Linked DNA regions of Mus musculus. The protein of the gene in region 2 purifies or fractionates together with the protein of the main gene of each other region. This does not show direct contact. Links are inferred from orthologs where the notes say so. Each region holds a gene or a part of one and is shown on either strand. Other genes may lie near its edges.

Region 1 (4,189 bases), on a different chromosome or scaffold from region 2:
TCTGTAGTCCAGGCTTGTTTGAATTCAAGAGATCTGCCTGCCTCTGCCTCTGTCACCACCACCCAACTGCTGGTTGTTTTAAGCAACCCTAATCAGCAAAACTGACCTGGCACTTGGGAGCCATGGGTTAACCTAGGGGCGTGGCATAATAAGGGCACGCACCAAGTTAAAAGAAGTTGGCACAAAATCTGTCTATACGCATTGTTAAGTTAGCAACAGGATTTTCAATGTGTTAGGACTAATTTTTAGAAATAACTTCTTGTTGAAGCAGTCTGGGGAGAGTTAATTTTTTGTTGTTGTTTTTTTTCGAGACAGGGTTTCTCTGTGTAGCCCTGGCTGTCCTCGAGCTCACTCTGTAGACCAGGCTGGCCTCGAACTCAGAAATCCCTGTCTCTGCCTTCCAAGTGCTGGGATTAAGGGCATGCGCCACCTCTGCCCGGTAGAGAGTTAAATTTTTAAGGAGGCTCGTCCAATAACTAACTAGACAACCGTTTCCAGGCGCCCAAACTGCACGCCCGTTTATGCCAACCTCGGCCCGTGCTATTCACGTTCCCATGCGGTGCCCAAACCCAGGCCTCTACAACGGATCCAAGGCCCAGGGCCTACCATCCGGCACCTATGTGTTCTTTTCGGTCCTTCGCGGCCGTCTATTTCCATGTAGAAACAGGGTGTGCCCTCCCTTTTCCGAGCACAGACCCCATCCTAAGGGCGGATGCTGGGGCCCCAGGACGAGGCCCCTGAGGTTGGCGGGAGCTCGAGGGGGCGGGCCGCCAGGGAACGGGGAGGGGGGGAAAGCAGAAAGACGAGCAACGCGCGCGGCGCTCAAACCCGCGCTGCCTTCTGCTCACGGGCGAACCCCACCCTCTCCGTCACCAAAGGCGCCCAGCCAATGGGCGAGCCGGAAAGGCCGGGCTTACAAGCGAGGGACCGAGAGGGGGAGCCACTCGAGGGGAAAGGGATGTAGAAGGCGGGCTGCACTTGACTGACAGCTCACTCAAGCCAATCCTCTGTGAGGCTTCTCCGCTCTCCTCTTTGCTGGGCTCTGTTCGACGTCCCACCTTCTCTTCCTCCACCCCCCCCTCACTCCTTTGCGTCCCGCCCCGCCTCCCCTCCCCCACTCTGCGGGCAAATCACTGCTGGAAAGAGGCGGGGGCCTAAGCGGCAGGCTCGTGTGGAGCCTTGAGGTGGGATTGACGGGCGCTCCGACCAATAAGAGGTAGGCTGATGGCGCGGCTGTGGCCGGGGCCGACCAATGGGCGCGCGGCCTGGGGGCGGAGGCCCAGGTTCCAAACGCTCCGCGGCGCCATGGGCTGAAAACTCAACCGAGATGGAATCTCCCAGTCTGAACCGGTTTCAACCGGTTCCGAGTTTGAGGCACTAGGAGGAGGGGGAGAAGCGGCTGCAGCGGCCGCGGCAGGAGCAGCGGGAGCTTCAGCATCAGCAAGAGCAACAGTAGCTACAGCCCCGGCGGCCGTGCCTGTTCCAGCCTTTGCTGCAGCAGTCGTGCAACCATCCCGAGGGGGAGGGGGGAGGCACCAGTCGCTGAGGAGCACGCGAAGGGGGGAAAGTTTAGGCTAGCTCGGGTGGGGGGGCCCGGCGCCGGAGCGGCGTGAGCGAGGGAGCCCTGTGTGGTAGGGGGAGCCGGACTGCAACTGGCGGCAGAGCGGCCCCGGCCGTACGGACTCGCGCTGCTGCTCCCGCCGCCGCCTGTGGCTGGAGGGTCCTGGGCTCTGTCTCACGGACTGGCCCGCTCCCCTCCCCCTTCCTTCCCTCCCCAGCCGGGCGGGAGCATTTATTTCTCGGATTAATTCCCCTTTTTGGTGGGGCGCGTGTGTGTGCGTGCGCGCGTGTGTGTGCGTGAGTGTGTGTTGGGTGGAGTTGTCCCTAGAATAGTAAATACTGAGCTTTTTTTTTTTTTTTTGCCCTTCTCTGCTTTTTAATTTCTTTTTTGTTTAAGGTGGGAAAACTGTGAAACCCACCTTGATTTCCTCCCCTCTCCCTCCTCCCCACCTTCCCTCGCCCCAAGCCCGGACAAGGAAGGAAGAAGCAGTTGGTTGAATTTCTGGGTAAGTCGGTCGTGTGCTCGGGGCCGAGGGTCGGGCGGCGGCGGCGCGGCGGGCATGAGGCGAGGCGGGCGGCGGGCGCGGGGCCCTCGGCGGAGCCTGAGATTGAATGGAAGCGCTTCTGTCGCTCGGTGATGGAGGTGGGGAGGCGGCCGCGGGAGGGGAGCGCTTGCTGGGTCATCTTCGTGTGCGGGTGGCGGTGGAGGAAGGCGAGGAGCGTGGTAGTGAGGCTGAGCCCCTGCGCGTGGGTGGAAGGGCTTCCCCAGTCCAAAGGGCTGGGGAGAGTCGGGGGTGATTTCGGGAACGTCTCTGTAAATTATTAGGAGTGGAAGTTTCCAGAAATATTTAGTGCAGCAGCATTGAAACGTCCGCCTGCATCACGTGGCCCCCTCGGTGGAGAGCTTGGGATGGGGGAGGGAGGGGCTACCGAGTCCCTTCTTATGTGAAGAAACTCGAAAGCCTTGTGGGTGATTTTTGTTGTTGTTGGTTTTGTGAGTGTGTGTATAACAAGAAGTAGGAAAGAGGAGTTAATTTCTTTTTTTCGGGGGCCTGCAGTTGGGGTTCCGTGTTGTAGGTTGTTTTCGCCCGGGGCATATATGTCTTGGTGAAACCGTGTACTGCTGGCCGTGGACAGTGAATGATGCCCTCCCTGCTCCTCCTTCTGGTTTCTTGAGTTTGCGGTGTAGGAGAGGAAGTGGTGGTAGAGGATGCACTGAATACTCGCCGAGGCGGGACCTCGGATCACTCAGAGGACATGCTGCATAGAGAATAGGGCGGTGAACTTAGGCGCCGGGTCTAAATGCCTCCTCCGAGTATGGGCGGGGTGAGTGCGTGCTCCTGTGAGCTATAGTTAGAAGTGCTGAGAGTCGTTCGGGTGGGAAGCCAGGGGAGGGCGGTCCCTTCCTAGTGAGGCGTGTGTTTCTTACTGAATGAAGCAGGCGATTGCCCACACACGGAGTAGCAGTCTTTTGTAGCATCTTGTTTTTTGACTCATTGTGAACTTACCTTTTTAGATGGCTACTGGTGGGTAGTGTTTTGCTGCTTGCAGTGCCATTGAAGGTATATGGACAATCACTTGTAGAGTCACAGCATTGTTTGATGGGTTCCTACAGTTCACAATCCAGTGAGTGGAATTTGGGATTGGGGGACACCAACGAGACAGGTGAACCAATCAGAAAGTGAACAATCCCTCCATAGCTGCACTACTTACTGCATGATTCTGTATCTTGAATGTGGGTGTCACGGCTGACGGTGGAATGACTATTTGGAAGCTGTTTGGTTGGGGCTGCTAAATGTGCTTGGCATTGACCACAGAGCCGCCATTTCTGGATTACCTATAGTTGAAGTTGGAAGATAACCGCTAGTTCCGAGAAAGGCCAACAACTGTATTTAAGTATTCTTAGATTGCACCCCTTCCCCCACATGAGTCTAGTATCTGAATTCTTAGAGAAGACCAACTTGAAAATGAAACTTAGGACTTAAGTGTAGGGTCATTTGACTAAACATTTAATCATTACTTTTTTTTTTAAAGAACTATAAATTGAGATAGTGTCTGAGACAAGTTGGTTGCAATTTTTAACCATAAACTCGAAAAATCTGTTTTAATCTGTAAAAGTTATGACACTTGAAGTTATTGGAAAGAATAGTTATTTGTTAGTGGGATTTATTTTTCTTGTATATTAGTGTTCTGTTTTTCCCTTCTTAAGACAGACAGAGTCTCACTGTGTATTCCAGTCTGTGCTTCCATCTCTTCTGGGATTGCATATGTCTTATCTCTTAACACTGGCCTTGGTGTTAATTGTCCTTTCACCTCCCAGGTGCTTTCTTTAATTTTTAATATATAATTTATTTTTACTTTTAGTTTATGTTTTGTTGGTGTTTTGCCTGCATGTATGTCTTTGTGGAGGTGTCAGAAAACCAGAAACCAGAGTTACAGATCAATGTGGGTGCTGGGAATTGAACCAGGGTCCTTTGGAAGCACAGCCACTGAGCTATCTCTCCAGCCCAGTTTGTTTGTTTCTTTTCTTTTTCTTTTTCTTTTTCTTTTTCTTTTTCTTTTTCTTTTTCTTTTCTTTTCTTTTCTTTTCTTTCTTCTTTTTCCGAGACAGGGTTTCTCTGTATAGCCC
Region 2 (5,921 bases):
TTTACTCTGGGCACTCAGGACGAGACAGTCACTCATCACACATATTTATCAAGCACCTGCTCAATGACACGAGTCCAGAACCCGGCAGTGAAATGGACTGATGTATGAAATTTATGTCTACTGGGGAATCACTCCCAGCCAATCTAGCCAATGACTATGATATGGAGTGGGGGGGAGTGCAAGAGGTGAGTACCATGTAGTCCCAGGGATTCCAGCTGGGCTCATAATTTGGCAAGTGTCAGAGGAGCCTCTGTAAAACCTTAAGTGGAAAAGACAGGGAAGCGTTGAGCTAATGTGCTTTTCCTGTGGCTCTTGTTCCACAGTCCAATACCCAGGGTGCTGTTCCCACAGCAGTGAGAGAGAGAGAGAGTGAAGCAAACAGGGCATGGAATGGTTAGCTCCAGTTCGTCCTCTGGTCTCAACCAGTTCAGTTCAGGAGAGAGATCATTTCGCTATGACTGGCTGATTTTCAGCCCTAGGAGCTGCTTCAAATGCACAGTCTAGTTGAAGTTTAAACCCCAGCATTCCTCCCTATAAATATAAAATCCTGTCTACCCTCACCCCATCCTTTGACTTATTTTTCTTTTAAGATTAGCATCTCTGCCCCCATTTCCTCCTGCCTTCCTTCTCTGAGCGGGCTGGGACCTTGGACTGCATTGGGTCCCTATTCTATGTGACAGAGGAAGGAAGAATCAGCCGGCTCAGTGGGTCCACAACTCATGAGCTTACACACCACCTCCATAAAGGAGTGTGCCACTGACCTCTGCAGAGCACAGAAAGAGGCAGTGGTCTGAAGATCAATCTATGGGAAGACTTAAGAATGACCCTTTAATGGAGGAGTTGGCATATATTTCAAGTTGTGTCTGTTGGTTCCAGGGTTTTTAACCTCTCTAGTTAAGGGCTTAGCTTTCTTGGGACATCGGCTGCCTTATTTCTGAAAAAGACCAAATGTAACTGGTGTAACCAGCAGTTTGGGGATTGCCAAGTATGGCTTTGCCCTGTGACTCAAAAGATGTTTGTAAGGTAGATTTGGGTGAGTGCCATTATTGTGTGCATGTGTGTATGTATGGATGGGATGTGGTCTCCTGCAGACTGAAATAAACTAGAGCAATTTATCAGTGTCTTTGTGTTTCTTGGGGACAGCTCTGGGCTCAGTAAATTCAGAAGAGCTAGCTGACAACAGGTACCAAGTAAATGAGTGTGTCCTGGGTCTCCCATGTCCCAGACAGACAGTTGACGTCATCTGATTAAGCCCAAGACCCAGGTCTACTGTTAGCATTTTACAATGAATAGAGGCTTGCACACATGCAACTTGTTGAGAGACTGCATCTGACAGAATGTGCCCTCTGGAGCTGACCCACCAGCTCCAAGTTAGGAACCTCTTTTATAATTCTACTCCAGAAATGTCTTCAACATCAGTCAGTATACGCAGATCTGAATCTTAACCCTTCCTGGCTGAAAGCTATTGGATAATTTAACTGCTTTGTGTGGAATTCTCTTATTACATATTTTTTTCCAGACAGGGTCCCATGTAACTCAGGATATCTAGAGATTGCTATGTAGCCTAGGAAGACCTTGAATTCCTGACCCTCTAATCCCCAAAAGCTGAGATGATAGCCGCGCACCATTTGCGATGTGAAGTGGATATGGCTTATGATCTGAAACGATTGCCTTGAAAACAGTAAACAAAACCGATCTTTTGTCCCTTTTCCTCTCCGTTTTTAAAAGGGTTCTGCACCGGCACACAGTGCAGTCCACCCGCTAACCGAACCTCTCTGTCCGCTCTTCCCAGCAAAAAAGTTCCTAACTTCTCTAAGTCGGAAGCTTCTAAGAGCCCTGCAGGTAAGTGCTACCGGGAAGCATCGAGAGTCTCAGGAAGGCCGAGCGTGCCTCTCTCTAAGGAAGAAAATTAAATAGCGAGGCTGCGCACGCAGCATCCAAAGGAAGGCGGACTCCGGCCCGCGCCTCATGGCCACACCCACTGCGCGGAACCGGCCAATGGGGCCTTGTGGATTGGCAAGCGCGCGACTTCCGAGCAGCCCTCGACTGCCTCCGAGCACACTAAAAACCGGCCTGGGTGACGTCAGTCACGCGCGCCGGAAACGCGCATCTACCACGCGCCGCGGGCGCTGAGGGAAGGAAGTTGAGGCCTGAGCGGCCTGAGCTGTGTTTGAAAGGCCGCGGGTGGCAGCGGCAGCGCCAGCAGCAGCTACTTGAACACCCTGAAGGCGGCACGATGGGAGACGAGATGGATGCCATGATCCCTGAGCGGGAGATGAAGGTTAGAGCCTGGCCGGGGCCTCCCCGCCTGCGTAGTCCTGGAGTTGCCTTGGAGCCTCGCCTCTGCCGGCTGCTCCTGCAGTTCGCAGGGTCGCGATCGCTCGCCCCACAGAGCGTCCGCAGCTCTGCGTGTCGCGGGCCTGAGTTCCCTGCAAGTGCAGGTACCTGTCCTTGCGTGGGTTTGTCCACGCCTTCTGAGTTACCCCAGGTACTCTGATGGGCTGGTCGCCTTACTGGTGACAGCGATTCTTGTTTATTGAGTGAGACGTACTGTCGCCACCGTCGCTGCAGCCCTTACGACCAGCTTAGAAAGAGGAGCGCATTGAAGCCTTGAAAGCAAATGATCCAAAGTCACGTGGCAAAAGCCTTACATCTCTCTTACGATTTAGGCATGGTCTCTTGTAGCTCAAGGTGGCTTCTGGTCTTGGGCTCTTGTCTCTGCCTCCACCTCCCAAGTGGTGGGATTATTGGTGTGCATTACCACAGTTGGCTTAGACGCTCAGTTCTTATTAGCTCTCTATACTTGAGGGTGGTCCAAACTACCTAAAGTGGAGCCAAGAAACACTATCTGCCTTCAAAACCCCTAGTTAGTAGGAACAGGAAGTCAAGTTTGGCACTGGAAATCAGCTTGAACTCATGAGACTAAAGGAAAAGCAAGCGAACCCTAAGTGATCCCCATGCTACAACTTCTGGATACTGTGTTAATAGTTGGCTTATATACTCTGACAGAATGGAAAGGCAGGGGACCGTAGACAGTTGGAAATGAGTGAGTTGCAGGAAGGTGTTAGCCATTTGTGTGACCGGTGAGTCGCTAAAATGCACATGGGTCGAGTGCTCCATATCATGCTTAGAAACAGTGGCTCTTCCTTGAGTCAGCACATGTGCTGAGCCCGGTAATGGGCAAGCTTCATGTTCCTCAGATATGTTCGGGTAGAGAATTTAGAACCACAGGGCTAATAGCAGTATTTTAATTCCTGCCAAAAGCAGAAAGGAGAGGTTTGGGTTTTGGGTTTGTCTGTTGTGTTTGTTTTGTTTTGTTTTGTTTTGTTTCTTTTGTGTTGCTTCATCACACTGGCCCACCACAAAAAAAGCCACCAAGCCCCAGTGGTACAGTCATGACTATTAGGATGATAATATCAAAAAAGATAGATGATTTGTTTCTTTATGAATGGCCAGTGTGGCCTCATGGGGAAATTTGTGTGAACTTTTACCCACCGTATTCAACTGGGATTAAGAGTACTGCTCTTCCAGAGCTCCTGAGTCCAATTCCCAACACCTACAGGGCAGCACACAATTGTCTGTAGCTCTAATTCTCACACAGACACATGCAGGCAGAACACCAATGCTCATAAAAATCTTCCAGTAAATATGTATTAAACATGGACTGCAAGAAAATTAGTATGTGTGGGTGTGCTAGACACCCTTTATGAAGCATTTCATAAGGTTCTGTAGAAATACATTTTCTCTTGTAGCTGTCATATTCTTTTCACTAAAATCCCTAGCTGGAGAGTTAGGAGGTGTGGTGGAGGATACAGATAGAGCTTAACAAAGTGATTACAGATTAACACTTTTTGAGGGTATTAGATCCCCAGGAACTGGAGTTACAGACAGTTGTGAGCTGCTATGTGGGTTCTGGGAATTGAACCTAGATCCCCTGAAAGAGCAGCCAGTGTTCTTAACCATTGCTTCCTCTCTCCAGCCCTCTCTATTTATTTCATTCAGCAAATGTTAATGAGTATTATACCAAGCACCACCAAATACAGAGTCTAAAAACAAAATTGGTGGCCTCAAGGTAATAAGTATATTTTTGTTATCCTGAAATTGCATTTATGGACTATGATAATAGACATGATTTAATTTCTTCCTTGATCTTGTTTCCTATTCTAAAACAGGACTTTCAGTTTAGAGCACTGAAGAAAGTGAGGATCTTTGACTCTCCTGAAGAGTTGCCCAAGGAGCGCTCGAGTGTGCTTACCATATCCAATAAGTATGGTATGCTCTTCGCTGGTGGCACCAATGGCTTGAATGTTTTTCCTACTAAAAGCCTTCTTATCCAAAATAAACCTGGAGATGATCCCAATAAAATTGGTAAGCACGTTCTTTGATTTATAGTGTGCAGCAGAGCCAGGGCTGCAGTAGCATACTAGTCAGTGTATTTCCTTACTAAGACACGATTCTGATGTCAAAATTGTGATTTCTTTTGGCCTTGCAGGGAGCTTCCACTTAGGGTGCCAAAGGCCTTTCTGAGTTTTCTTTTCAGCTCTCTGCTATTGTTTCTGTGAGCCACTTCTCTAAGATGAGAGGGAAGAAGACCTTACTGTTGTGCTCAGTTGAACGTGGGCTCTGGGAAGCCATCCAGAAGAAGGCATGGCTGTATCACCCTGCAGACGGAAACGTGTGTCTGCAGCATTGAGCAGAAGTGTTTTCAGCAAGGGCCATAGCAAGAGTCTTGGGATATTTAAAGCAGCATTACCTATGTACAGGAGAGTTAAGCTTAGTTCCTGTAACTAGATATCCAAGGTATTGTTACTCTGTATCCATCGTGCATCAGGAGGAAGTGGGGAGAGTGCACCAGTGGGCTGGTGAGACAGCAAAATCTTCTATGTTAATACACATAAGCAGAGTTGCTGATGATCAAGACTGCCAGACAAGAACTCCAGGAGTCTTGTTCCTTCTGGCAGCTCTGATTGGGGACTGAATCAGCAGGGTTTATAAGCATAAAAAAATGTAAGCAACTGGGACAAGTTACAGTTACAGTTTTCACCAGTCAGGACTCTGGGATTAGGGACTCTCCCAAGTGTTTCATTGTTGTCAGCTGACATTGAGTGTAAGTGTTTTTGCTCAACCAATCAAATTTGTCTGTTCTTTCTGTTAGGAACAACATTATGTTTTGGGGAACTATTGTTGCTTAGAGAGGGAGTTGGTGAGCTTGTAGAGAGTCCTCAGTTCCCCAGGGCCTAGGAACTTGAACTTTGTTCATCCAATAGGAAAAATGGAGTCTGAATGTAGAATGTCAGTCCTTAAGACCAGCTCTTTATCTATGCCCAACAGGTGTATTTTTATATAGGTGAAAATGTGGGTTTGTATTGACTTGAGTAAAGGATTATGACTGTGTGCCTGTTACATGCTGTATTTTTCTGCTTTGTGTTTTTATAGTTGACACAATTCAAGGCTTGAATGTTCCTATGAAATTCCCAGTCCATCACCTAGCACTGAGCTGTGATAGTCTTACACTCTCTGCCTGCATGATGTCTAGTGAATACGGCTCCATTATAGCTTTTTTTGATGTTCGCACATTTTCAAATCAGGTAAGCTACTATATGGAAGCAGAGACTTGCTCGTAGACGTTCTAACTTGGAAGCTGTATAAAGGGTGACGTGGCTGCTCCATGGTCTGGTAAGGGGGTATTCATTGTAGCTATAAGAAAGCAAACACTAGAGGAACTTGGAAGAGTCCAGAGCAGAGAAAGAAGTAGACTGAACATGGCCAGCAGAGTGAATATAGCCAGGGCTCTGGGGACGAGGGGAGATGGAGAATAGAAACAACGCCGTGAGGCAGGCTATGAGGAGAGTGAGTAGCTGGAGGAGGGACGCTCATGAGCTGTAGGGGAAAAAGTATGGACTCTGAAGTGTGTGGCAGGC
Region 3 (4,139 bases), on a different chromosome or scaffold from region 2:
CTCAGGGTGGCAGGCCTCCAGGGATGATCACAACTCCCATAAAGTGACGGCTGTGCACATGCTGGGGAGGGCATGGCAGCTAAATGTGAAAACCAGCTCTTGAGTTAAGGTGGATCTGAGGGCGGGGGAAGCATCTGGGTAGGACCTCAGGAAAGAAAAAAGAAGTACCATGGGGAAGACTATGGGCTGGTACCCCCACTCTGCACTGTCTTTGAAACCTTTCGATTATTCCAAAAGTTTACTTTAAAATACCAAACTCAAGGAAAGGAGCACCACCGGCACAGCAACATGGCACAATGTTTCAAATAAAAACCAGCACCTGTGGGGCCCAGGGATGCAGCTCAGGTGGTAGAATGTCCATTTAGCATGCAGTTCATGAAGCTCTGGGTCCATCCCATTTCTGTATTCGTAGCAGACTCCACATGGACTTAACAAAGCCCATAGCTGGCAAGGGAGGGCTGGAGTCTAAACACATCAAATCACGCCTGTGCTCAAACACTGGCAGAAGATAAGAATTCACACTCTGATGGCTCAGTGTTACAGAGCACTGACTGCTTTTCCAGAGCAACCACATGGTGGCTCACAACCATCTGCAATGGAATCTGATGCCCTCTTCTGGTGTGTCTGAAGAGAACCTGTGTACTTACATAAATAAAATCTAAAAAAAAAAAAAGAGTGCCCATTCCAAGGGGAATTATCTCAAGGACTTGTAACTTTCAAAATCAGTATTCCCCACCTGCTCTGAATCTTTTACAGTACCAGGGATGGACACCAGAGTCTGGAAAGCAGTATTCTGGCCAACACTCTGCCACCAACCTCCAACCCCAGCCCATTACATATTTTTTTAAAATCAGGATCTTTGTTAAGTTCTCTAGACAGCCAAGAACTCACTTTCTAGTCAAGGCAAGCCTTGAGCTTTTTTCCTCCCCTTACTCAGTATGTAGACCTGTCACTACAGGTGGTGGAGGTCAGAGGACAACCGTCTAGAGTTGCTTTTGTCCTTCTACCAAGTGGGTCCTGAGGATGGAACTCAGGAGGGTTGAGTTTAGAGATCACCACCAGAGCCATCTCAAAGCAGCTCCAGCCCTGACCTTGACTTTCAATACTCCTGTCTTAGCCTCCTAAGTAGGTGAGATATCAAGCCTGGCCTCTGGACTTTTTCTTTTTAAAACACATTGAGGCCAGTCAGTATGACCCTGAACTCATGATTTCTTTTCTCCCATCTCCCAAATCCTGAGAATACAGGCAAGTCAAGCCCAATCCATGTGGTGCTTGGACAGAGACTAAGGTTCTGGTGTTAAAAACAGACGAGCATTCTTGAGCTCTATCTCCAACCATTCAGTCTCTCAGCTGCTACAAATATGACACACTGACTGACTTTCACATGGAATGCCAGCCATGTACATGAACATGGGGTAGAAAACAGGGTTCACGCATCATCCCCGGTGAAGGACAAGAGGGACTCTTTTACTAAATGGAATATAAATGTCCTATTTTGGACAGGATCAAGAAATAATTATCTAGTGGGGTCAGCAAGAGAGCAAGGACTGCAAGAAAGTCAGAGCAAGGGCAAAACCTTAGAGGTCGGCAGGGATGGCTGGAAACAGAAACCTTGGAGGTGGGACACACAGAACGATCATATGGCTAAGAATCTGGGGTAGGGAGAGTAAAAGAGGTGAAGTCAGGGTTTTTTTCTAAAAGAAAATACAATGACTGAGCAGTGGGTAAAGGCTGCCAAATAGTTTGACCCGAGTTCCGTCCCTGGGACTCACATGGTCAGAGAACCAACTCCTGCTAGCTCTCCTCTGACCACCACAATAAATGTTAAAACAAAACAAACAAAAATATGTTGAAGAGTCTCGTGGTTAGGACTTCGTGGCCTACTTTCCATAGCTGATATATCTGTGCGCGTATACAGCGCTCTACAAGTACTTGGGAAGCGTTATCTCGCGGTTGCTGCCTGGAACTCCTCTATGAAGCCTAAGCTAGCTTGCGCCATTCGGCGATGGGCTTAACCCACGAGGTCTCGGGTGGCAAATTCGTGAAGCAGGGAGAGAGAACGAGACGAGCTGGTTTCGGGTGTGAAAGACACATCGGATCTGACCGATTCAGGAGACCGAGCCCGGGCCCCCAGCCTGAAGCAGAGAGTGGAGGGTCAGGGCGACATGGCGGGCCCGGGGTCGCCACCGCCCCGTCGGGGCCGCGCGAGGGCGGGGCGCGGAGGGATCCAGGCAAGCCCGCGCTGCGCCGCCCCCGGTATATTTGTCCCCAGGCCCCGGGGCCGCCTCATTTTCAACCCTCTCAGCACAGTCTCCCTTAACGCTCCCGCCACGCCGCCTCCGCCCGCGCAATGGCTCTGTAGCCGCGACCCCGTCGTGTCCCCCGCCCCCGTCTCCGCGCTCACCGCGCCTTCACTCTCCGCTCACACCGTCTCTTCAGCCGAGGCCGCCGCCGCCGTTGCCTCCTCGCCTTTTCGCCGCCATGGAGTGAGTAACCGCTCGCCCCTCCCTCGCCAACTGCCTTTCCCGCCCTTTCAGAGCTCGCGGGGCTTCACGGGTCAGCCTCGTGGTGGGGGCGGGGGAGACGAAGTGAGGAACCACGGTCGCGCAGGCGCAGAAGAGGGAAGCTGGCGGCCGGCGCATCCGCTGAGCAAGCGCACTAGGCTCGAGTTGCGAGGGGCGGGGAGGAGGAGGGCGTGCTTCCGGAGAATTTGGGGGCTTTTAAGGTCGGCTCGCGCGCCGTTGCGCCTGCGCGCTAATTCACAGACCCTCTGCCCCTTTTCCTCCAAGGAGACAACCCCACAACCTGTTGCGCATGCGCATTGTCTTATTCCCCCACCCCCCCACCCCTCCACCCCCGGCCTGAACTACGGCGGGCGGCCGGTCATTGGCTAAACACGCGCACTGGTCCCCCAGGAGGGTAGTGGCGTAACAATGGATCGGGTCCTGGGACTGAGCTTGCGCCTCGTCGCTAGTCGAGCCAGCAGCGAGGAAGGGTGGGGTTTTGCTTGAGGCTCCGACTCAGGCCCAACTTCCCTCCAATCAGACACCTGCTGGGGCGGGGACTGGCTTAAACTGACAGGAAAGGCTTTAGGAACACCTTTAAGAAAGAGTTAGCACTAGCACTACAGGGGCGGGGCCTCTAGGGACTTGCTAGTGGGGGACGGGAACTGACTGTGACAGACAGAAGGGTGGGCGGAGCTTCCCGTAGAATCTTTAGAAGTCACCAAAATTTTTAAGGGAAGAGCGGGATCTGTGTGTGTGACACTGATGAAGGGCCCAGGCATGCAGAATTATTCTGGGAACCCCTGTGGATTAAAGGGGGTATAGTCTAATGATGCGGAAGGGGCACGGCTAGAAGGAAATTCCCTTGGGATTGAAATTTTTATGAAGAGGAATAAGATGAGGTGGGTAGGAGGGACTAGAGGTAATTCCCCTGGGAAAACACTAGGTTTCTGTGTTGAGGGAGGAGATGGGGCAGGGGAGTTTCCAATAATGTCCCTGGGAATGTGTGGAGCGCTGAAATTTTCGGAAAGAAGGAAACTGTGTAGCCTGTGGGTCAAGCCGCTTTGACTCAATCCCACCCACGTCCCCTTGTCCTCACAGGTCCTCCACCTTCGCCTTGGTGCCTGTCTTCACCCAGCTGAACAATCTTCCACGCTGCCTCCCAATTGTTGGTGCAGCCTCCATTGCCGTCGCTGCCCTGTGCCTGTGTCACAGCCATGTCACTCCTGGCGACCCTGGGACTGGAGCTGGACAGGGCCCTGCTCCCAGCTAGCGGGCTGGGCTGGCTCGTAGACTATGGGAAACTCCCCCTGGCCCCTGCCCCCCTGGGCCCCTATGAGGTCCTTGGGGGTGCCCTGGAGGGCGGGCTTCCAGGGGGGGGAGAGCCCCTGGCAGGTAAGAACAGGTTAAGAAGAGAGGTGGGTTGAGCTGGGGGTGGGGGTGGACAGAAAAGGAAGAATTTATTCCTTCACAAGATCAGTACTGAGGGCCTGCAGTGTGCCCAACACTGTTCTAGGTCTGCAGGGTTCCGAGCAAGGGATCCCTAAGCTCATGGGTGCATCAGGAGACAGAAGTGGGAGACCAAAGCTTAGTGGACAGTGATGAAAGACATAGTTGAGAAGTCAGCCCCTCTAA
Region 4 (4,032 bases), on a different chromosome or scaffold from region 2:
CACCTTAAAAACAATACAATTTACATGCTATTTTGACCCATATGCTCCTAATCCCCCCATGACTTGCAGCTGGGTATCCAAATGAGGGGAGGGGAATGTTAAGCAACTATATGCAACGTATTTTTATCTTGTTTGTTGTATTTGTTTTTTGTTTTTGAAACAAGATCTCAGACTGTAGTTCAGGCTTCGGGATACTGAGATGGCAGGTGTGTCGCTACAGCTCGTCAATGCACACGTTCTTTATATAATACTACACAGATCTTGTAAACGAAGTCTGGACATCAAAGCTTTATGGGAACTGCTAAGTGGTCTAAGGACGCGCCTCCGCGAAACTTTGTTAACAGTCCAGGGCCCCGACGGGGTCTCCAAGGGCAATTAGGGGCGCCTGAAGCCAGCTCTGCTCGAGTCTGGAATGGGCTGTGTGACCTTGGACAGGCTCCACTCTCTCTCTGGGCTTCAGTTTGCAAATCCGCACGTTGGAAGGTGAACCACGTGGTTCTCATGGTCCGGTTCCGCACAGAGCGCGGCAGCAAGCCGACCTCACCATGAAGGCAGCTTCCTGTGGGCGCGGCGCAGGACTTTAACGGTTCCCGTCCCCGCCCCCTCCGAGGCCCGCGAAAGGCTCGCTTTCCGTACACCGCGGCGAGTGACGGCTCTCCGTAGCGCGCAGTCCGAGCCACTCGCGCGCAGCTCCGCCCCACCCCGGAGGCGTCCCGTCGTGCTCCGCGCCAGACTCCTAAGAGCCTGGGCGCCTCCCGCCTTTCCGCGCGGCGGCGACCCCGAACTCCTCGCTTCAGTTCTCCCGGCGCCCCGTCCTATCAACGTCCAGGATCCCAGCCAATCCGACGCGCCTGGAGCCTTTACCTTCCGCCCACCCTTCTCCCCGCGCACAGCCGGGCTGAGCCCGAAGGCCTTTACCGGGCCAGCCCAATCAGCGGCGCGCTCTTACCTGCCCCACCCCAGAGCCCCTCCCCTCGACCAATAAGCACGCCCCATCCCGCTGCCCGCCCAGCCAACCGGACCTTGAAGCCCGCAGGCCAATGGGCGCGTGGCGGCCCTTCAACGCTAGCCGTCCGGCCAATCGGGGGTTCCGCGTGGCCCCGGCCGTAGCCAATCGCTGGGCAGCGCGGTGCCGCCGCGGAGAGGTCCGGCAAGGATATCCCTCCGCCTCCCTCCCTCGATCTCTCTCCCTCCCTGCGATCCGCCTCTCACTCACTCACTGCCGCCCTTCCTTTCTCCCTCCGCCGCCCGAGCAGCAGCCGCGCTCCGAGCTGCCCCCGGGGTCCCTCCCCCGCCGCCAGAGGAGCAGCTGCTGCCGCCTAGCACATTAGGAGGGCGGAAGGAAGGAAGGAGAGCGGGGAGGAAGGGGAGCCGGAGCGCCTGGCCAGAGGCAGCCGGTGAATGGGCTTGTGGTGACCCCCACCCCCCACCCCACCCTCCCTTCCCACCCGACCCCCAACCCCCATCCCCAGTCGGAGCCGCCGCCCGACAGGCCGGGCCGCCGTCTTGCGAGGAGTCCCCGCCGCCGTCACCTCCGCCATGGAGCTCATAACCATCCTCGAGAAGACCGTGTCTCCGGGTAGGACTCGGGGCCGGGGGGTCGGGCCGAGGTGACCGGGGTGGGGGAGGGGGTGGCCCCTCTGACCCCGCTGCCTCTCCCCCCATCTCTCCCGGCAGATCGGCTGGAGCTGGAAGCGGCGCAGAAGTTCCTCGAGCGTGCGGCCGTGGAGAATCTGGTGCGTGCCGCCCCGCCGCGCCCCATCCCGCCGCGTCCCCATCCCTGCGTGCGGCCCTTCCCGCCCTCCTGGAGGCCCAGGCCTCAGGAACCCACCCCGCCCCAGCTCGTCCCCCTACCCCCCCGCCCGGCCCAACCTAACCCCGCCATCGGGAAGCCGGTGGGTGTGTCCCGCCCCGAGCCCCGCGTCTGGCCAATAGCGAGGCGCGCCGGGGTGATCGCCGTCCAATCGCCACGCGGCCTGAGGGCGGCGGTGCTGCGGGAGGGAGAAAGAGGGAGGGAAGGGAAGTTAGGTTGCATGGCGCTGCGTGTTCAGCAAGGGTGGGGGTTGGGGAGCCGGGCCTAGGGGCCATGTGGAAGCTCTGCGCCCTGCCGCCTGCCTTGTACTGGCTGCGGCCGGCCTCTCCTTCCTGTCCCCTGGTTTTGAGGCAGTATGCAACTACTTCCCAGAGCCCTACCCTTCCCCAGCTCCCTTGGTCTGTGCTCATGGCCACGCCTGGCACCCGACCACCTCTGGACCCATTGCCACAATTTTTTTCTTTTTCTTGCCCATTATTATCCCATTCCTGGTCTAAGTGCACGAATGTTCTGTTTGGACTTAGGTTTTCAGAGAACTCATCTTTAAGGATCTCAGGCTGAGGCTCATTTCTGAGATTGAGCCTATTCTCTGATAAATCACAAATGTAACCCCGTTTTTCATACTTTCGGATTTAAGAAGTACATTTGAGAAAAGAAAAAGTGACTGACTTTTGTATAGGAAAATGTGGGATTATTGAAGCAGCCTATTGCCAGAATGTTTCTCCTCTCCTTTTTGGGGGAAGGGGAGGGAAGCGTGGATGATATGGAAAGTCTCTTTAAAGGTAGGAAGTTTTAAAAAGTGAAAAAAAACATTGTAACCCAATGTCCTTTGTGAGAGCTTTGCAAAATAGTAACATCCATACAGCGACATATCTGATTTGTACTGACCACTTTTGGTGGAGAGGTAAGCGACTTGTGTTAAGGTTTTTTTATCTCACACCTTTCCAAGCATTTCCTTTTTAGTGTAGACTGAGAATTCTGCTCATAGTATATTCTTGGTTTTGCTTTTGCTACTTTGCAAGAAGCCCTTTTTCCTGCTCCTAACTCTTCAGTGGCACAGAATAGAAATTGGAGAATTGTGTTCTGAGCCTACTGTAGAGTTTGCTTACATTGAGAATTATCTCCTGTGTTTGAAGAGTTTGCTAACACTAAAAAAAGTGTCTACTTTGGCCTTCTATAACATTCCTGATTGGACAGATTACGTACAGGCCCACCCCCCTGTGTGTGCCTCTGTATGCTCAGAAAGAGGAAGGGGGGTGTTATAGATGATTATCTTTTGGACCTGTATTTCAAAACATAGATTTTTGGATGATTCATTGTTAGTTCACATTAGGTCCAAAACACCATAGGCTCCCTGGTATGTTCTGCTTCTAAATGAAGCCAGTTTTTTTTTTTTTTTCCCCTCTCTCTTTTTTTTTTTTTTTTTTTTGGGCGGGGGGGAGTCAAGACAGGATTTCTCTATATAGCCCTGACTATCCTGGAACTCACTTTCTGTAGACCAGACTGGTCTCCCAACTCTGAAATCCACCTGCCTCTGCCTCCTAAGTGCTGGGATGAAACCAATTTCTCTTGACAATTCATCATTCACATTGTCATATTCTTTCAATTTCTGAAAACTAGTTAACACTTTGGCTTACAGATCCCTTTTGTTGAACATGCAGAACTAAAACACGGAGGACTCGGTCTTACATGTATGTTAGACTGGCACACATATGTTAGAAAGGATGCCTTACATGAGATCACAGGGCTGTCCTGATGTTTTTGAACAAGATTTTTTTTTTTTTAATATACTTTTCAAGAATTCTTTTCGTTGAGCTGATTTGCAGTACTGGACATTGTTGTACATGCTTGGAGAAAGTTGTCACTAGGATTGCCGTGTCACCAGGCATCGACTTGCCTTTAATTCTGGGGAGATATTTATTAGACTTGGGCTCAAAACATGTTCTTGATAGGAGGAATCTGTTTCTTCATATAGCAGGTGACTTGTCCTTGAAGTGGCTTTTGTTGCTTAGTCAGGCCTTAACTTTTTGAACCCAAGGAAACCTCTTCAATGTTGAGTCTAGGCAGGTACTATTTCAAAGAGAGATTTCCCAGTTTCCTGAGATACCTTGATTTGATCTAAATTTTGTGTGCTTCTCTAGTTTAGTACTTTATAAGCAAGGGGAAATTGCTAATATGCTTGCAAATGCACCTTCTCCACAGCCCACGTTCCTTGTGGA

Evidence for each region. Proteins that work in one complex are often made in the same cells at the same time.
Region 1: the proteins of Nup214 (region 2) and Xpo1 purify together in Homo sapiens (affinity purification with western blotting; 4 studies listed by BioGRID and IntAct, with this or other methods). This does not show direct contact. The link is inferred for Mus musculus from reciprocal best matches to the Homo sapiens genes NUP214 and XPO1.
Region 3: the proteins of Nup214 (region 2) and Nup62 purify together in Homo sapiens (affinity purification with mass spectrometry; 5 studies listed by BioGRID and IntAct, with this or other methods). This does not show direct contact. The link is inferred for Mus musculus from reciprocal best matches to the Homo sapiens genes NUP214 and NUP62.
Region 4: the proteins of Nup214 (region 2) and Kpnb1 purify together in Homo sapiens (affinity purification with mass spectrometry; 3 studies listed by BioGRID and IntAct, with this or other methods). This does not show direct contact. The link is inferred for Mus musculus from reciprocal best matches to the Homo sapiens genes NUP214 and KPNB1.

The regions. Positions count from the first base shown.
Region 1 is NC_000077.6:23,254,652-23,258,840, forward strand, and holds the start of Xpo1 (exportin-1), read left to right. Parts: upstream 1-1,389; 5' UTR 1,390-1,509; exon of another isoform or gene 1,510-1,992; 5' UTR 1,993-2,066; intron 2,067-4,189. UniProt on the Homo sapiens protein: Mediates the nuclear export of cellular proteins (cargos) bearing a leucine-rich nuclear export signal (NES) and of RNAs.
Region 2 is NC_000068.7:31,972,328-31,978,248, forward strand, and holds the start of Nup214 (nuclear pore complex protein Nup214), read left to right. Parts: upstream 1-2,122; 5' UTR 2,123-2,236; coding exon 2,237-2,281; intron 2,282-4,172; coding exon 4,173-4,368; intron 4,369-5,436; coding exon 5,437-5,588; intron 5,589-5,921. UniProt on the Homo sapiens protein: Part of the nuclear pore complex. Has a critical role in nucleocytoplasmic transport.
Region 3 is NC_000073.6:44,814,749-44,818,887, reverse strand, and holds the start of Nup62 (nuclear pore glycoprotein p62), read right to left. Parts: upstream 2,801-4,139; 5' UTR 2,405-2,800; exon of another isoform or gene 2,230-2,404; intron 1-2,229. Other genes in the region: Atf5 (cyclic AMP-dependent transcription factor ATF-5), read left to right, coding at 3,722-3,899. UniProt on the Homo sapiens protein: Essential component of the nuclear pore complex. The N-terminal is probably involved in nucleocytoplasmic transport.
Region 4 is NC_000077.6:97,185,093-97,189,124, reverse strand, and holds the start of Kpnb1 (importin subunit beta-1), read left to right. Parts: upstream 1-1,232; 5' UTR 1,233-1,539; coding exon 1,540-1,579; intron 1,580-1,677; coding exon 1,678-1,736; intron 1,737-4,015; coding exon 4,016-4,032.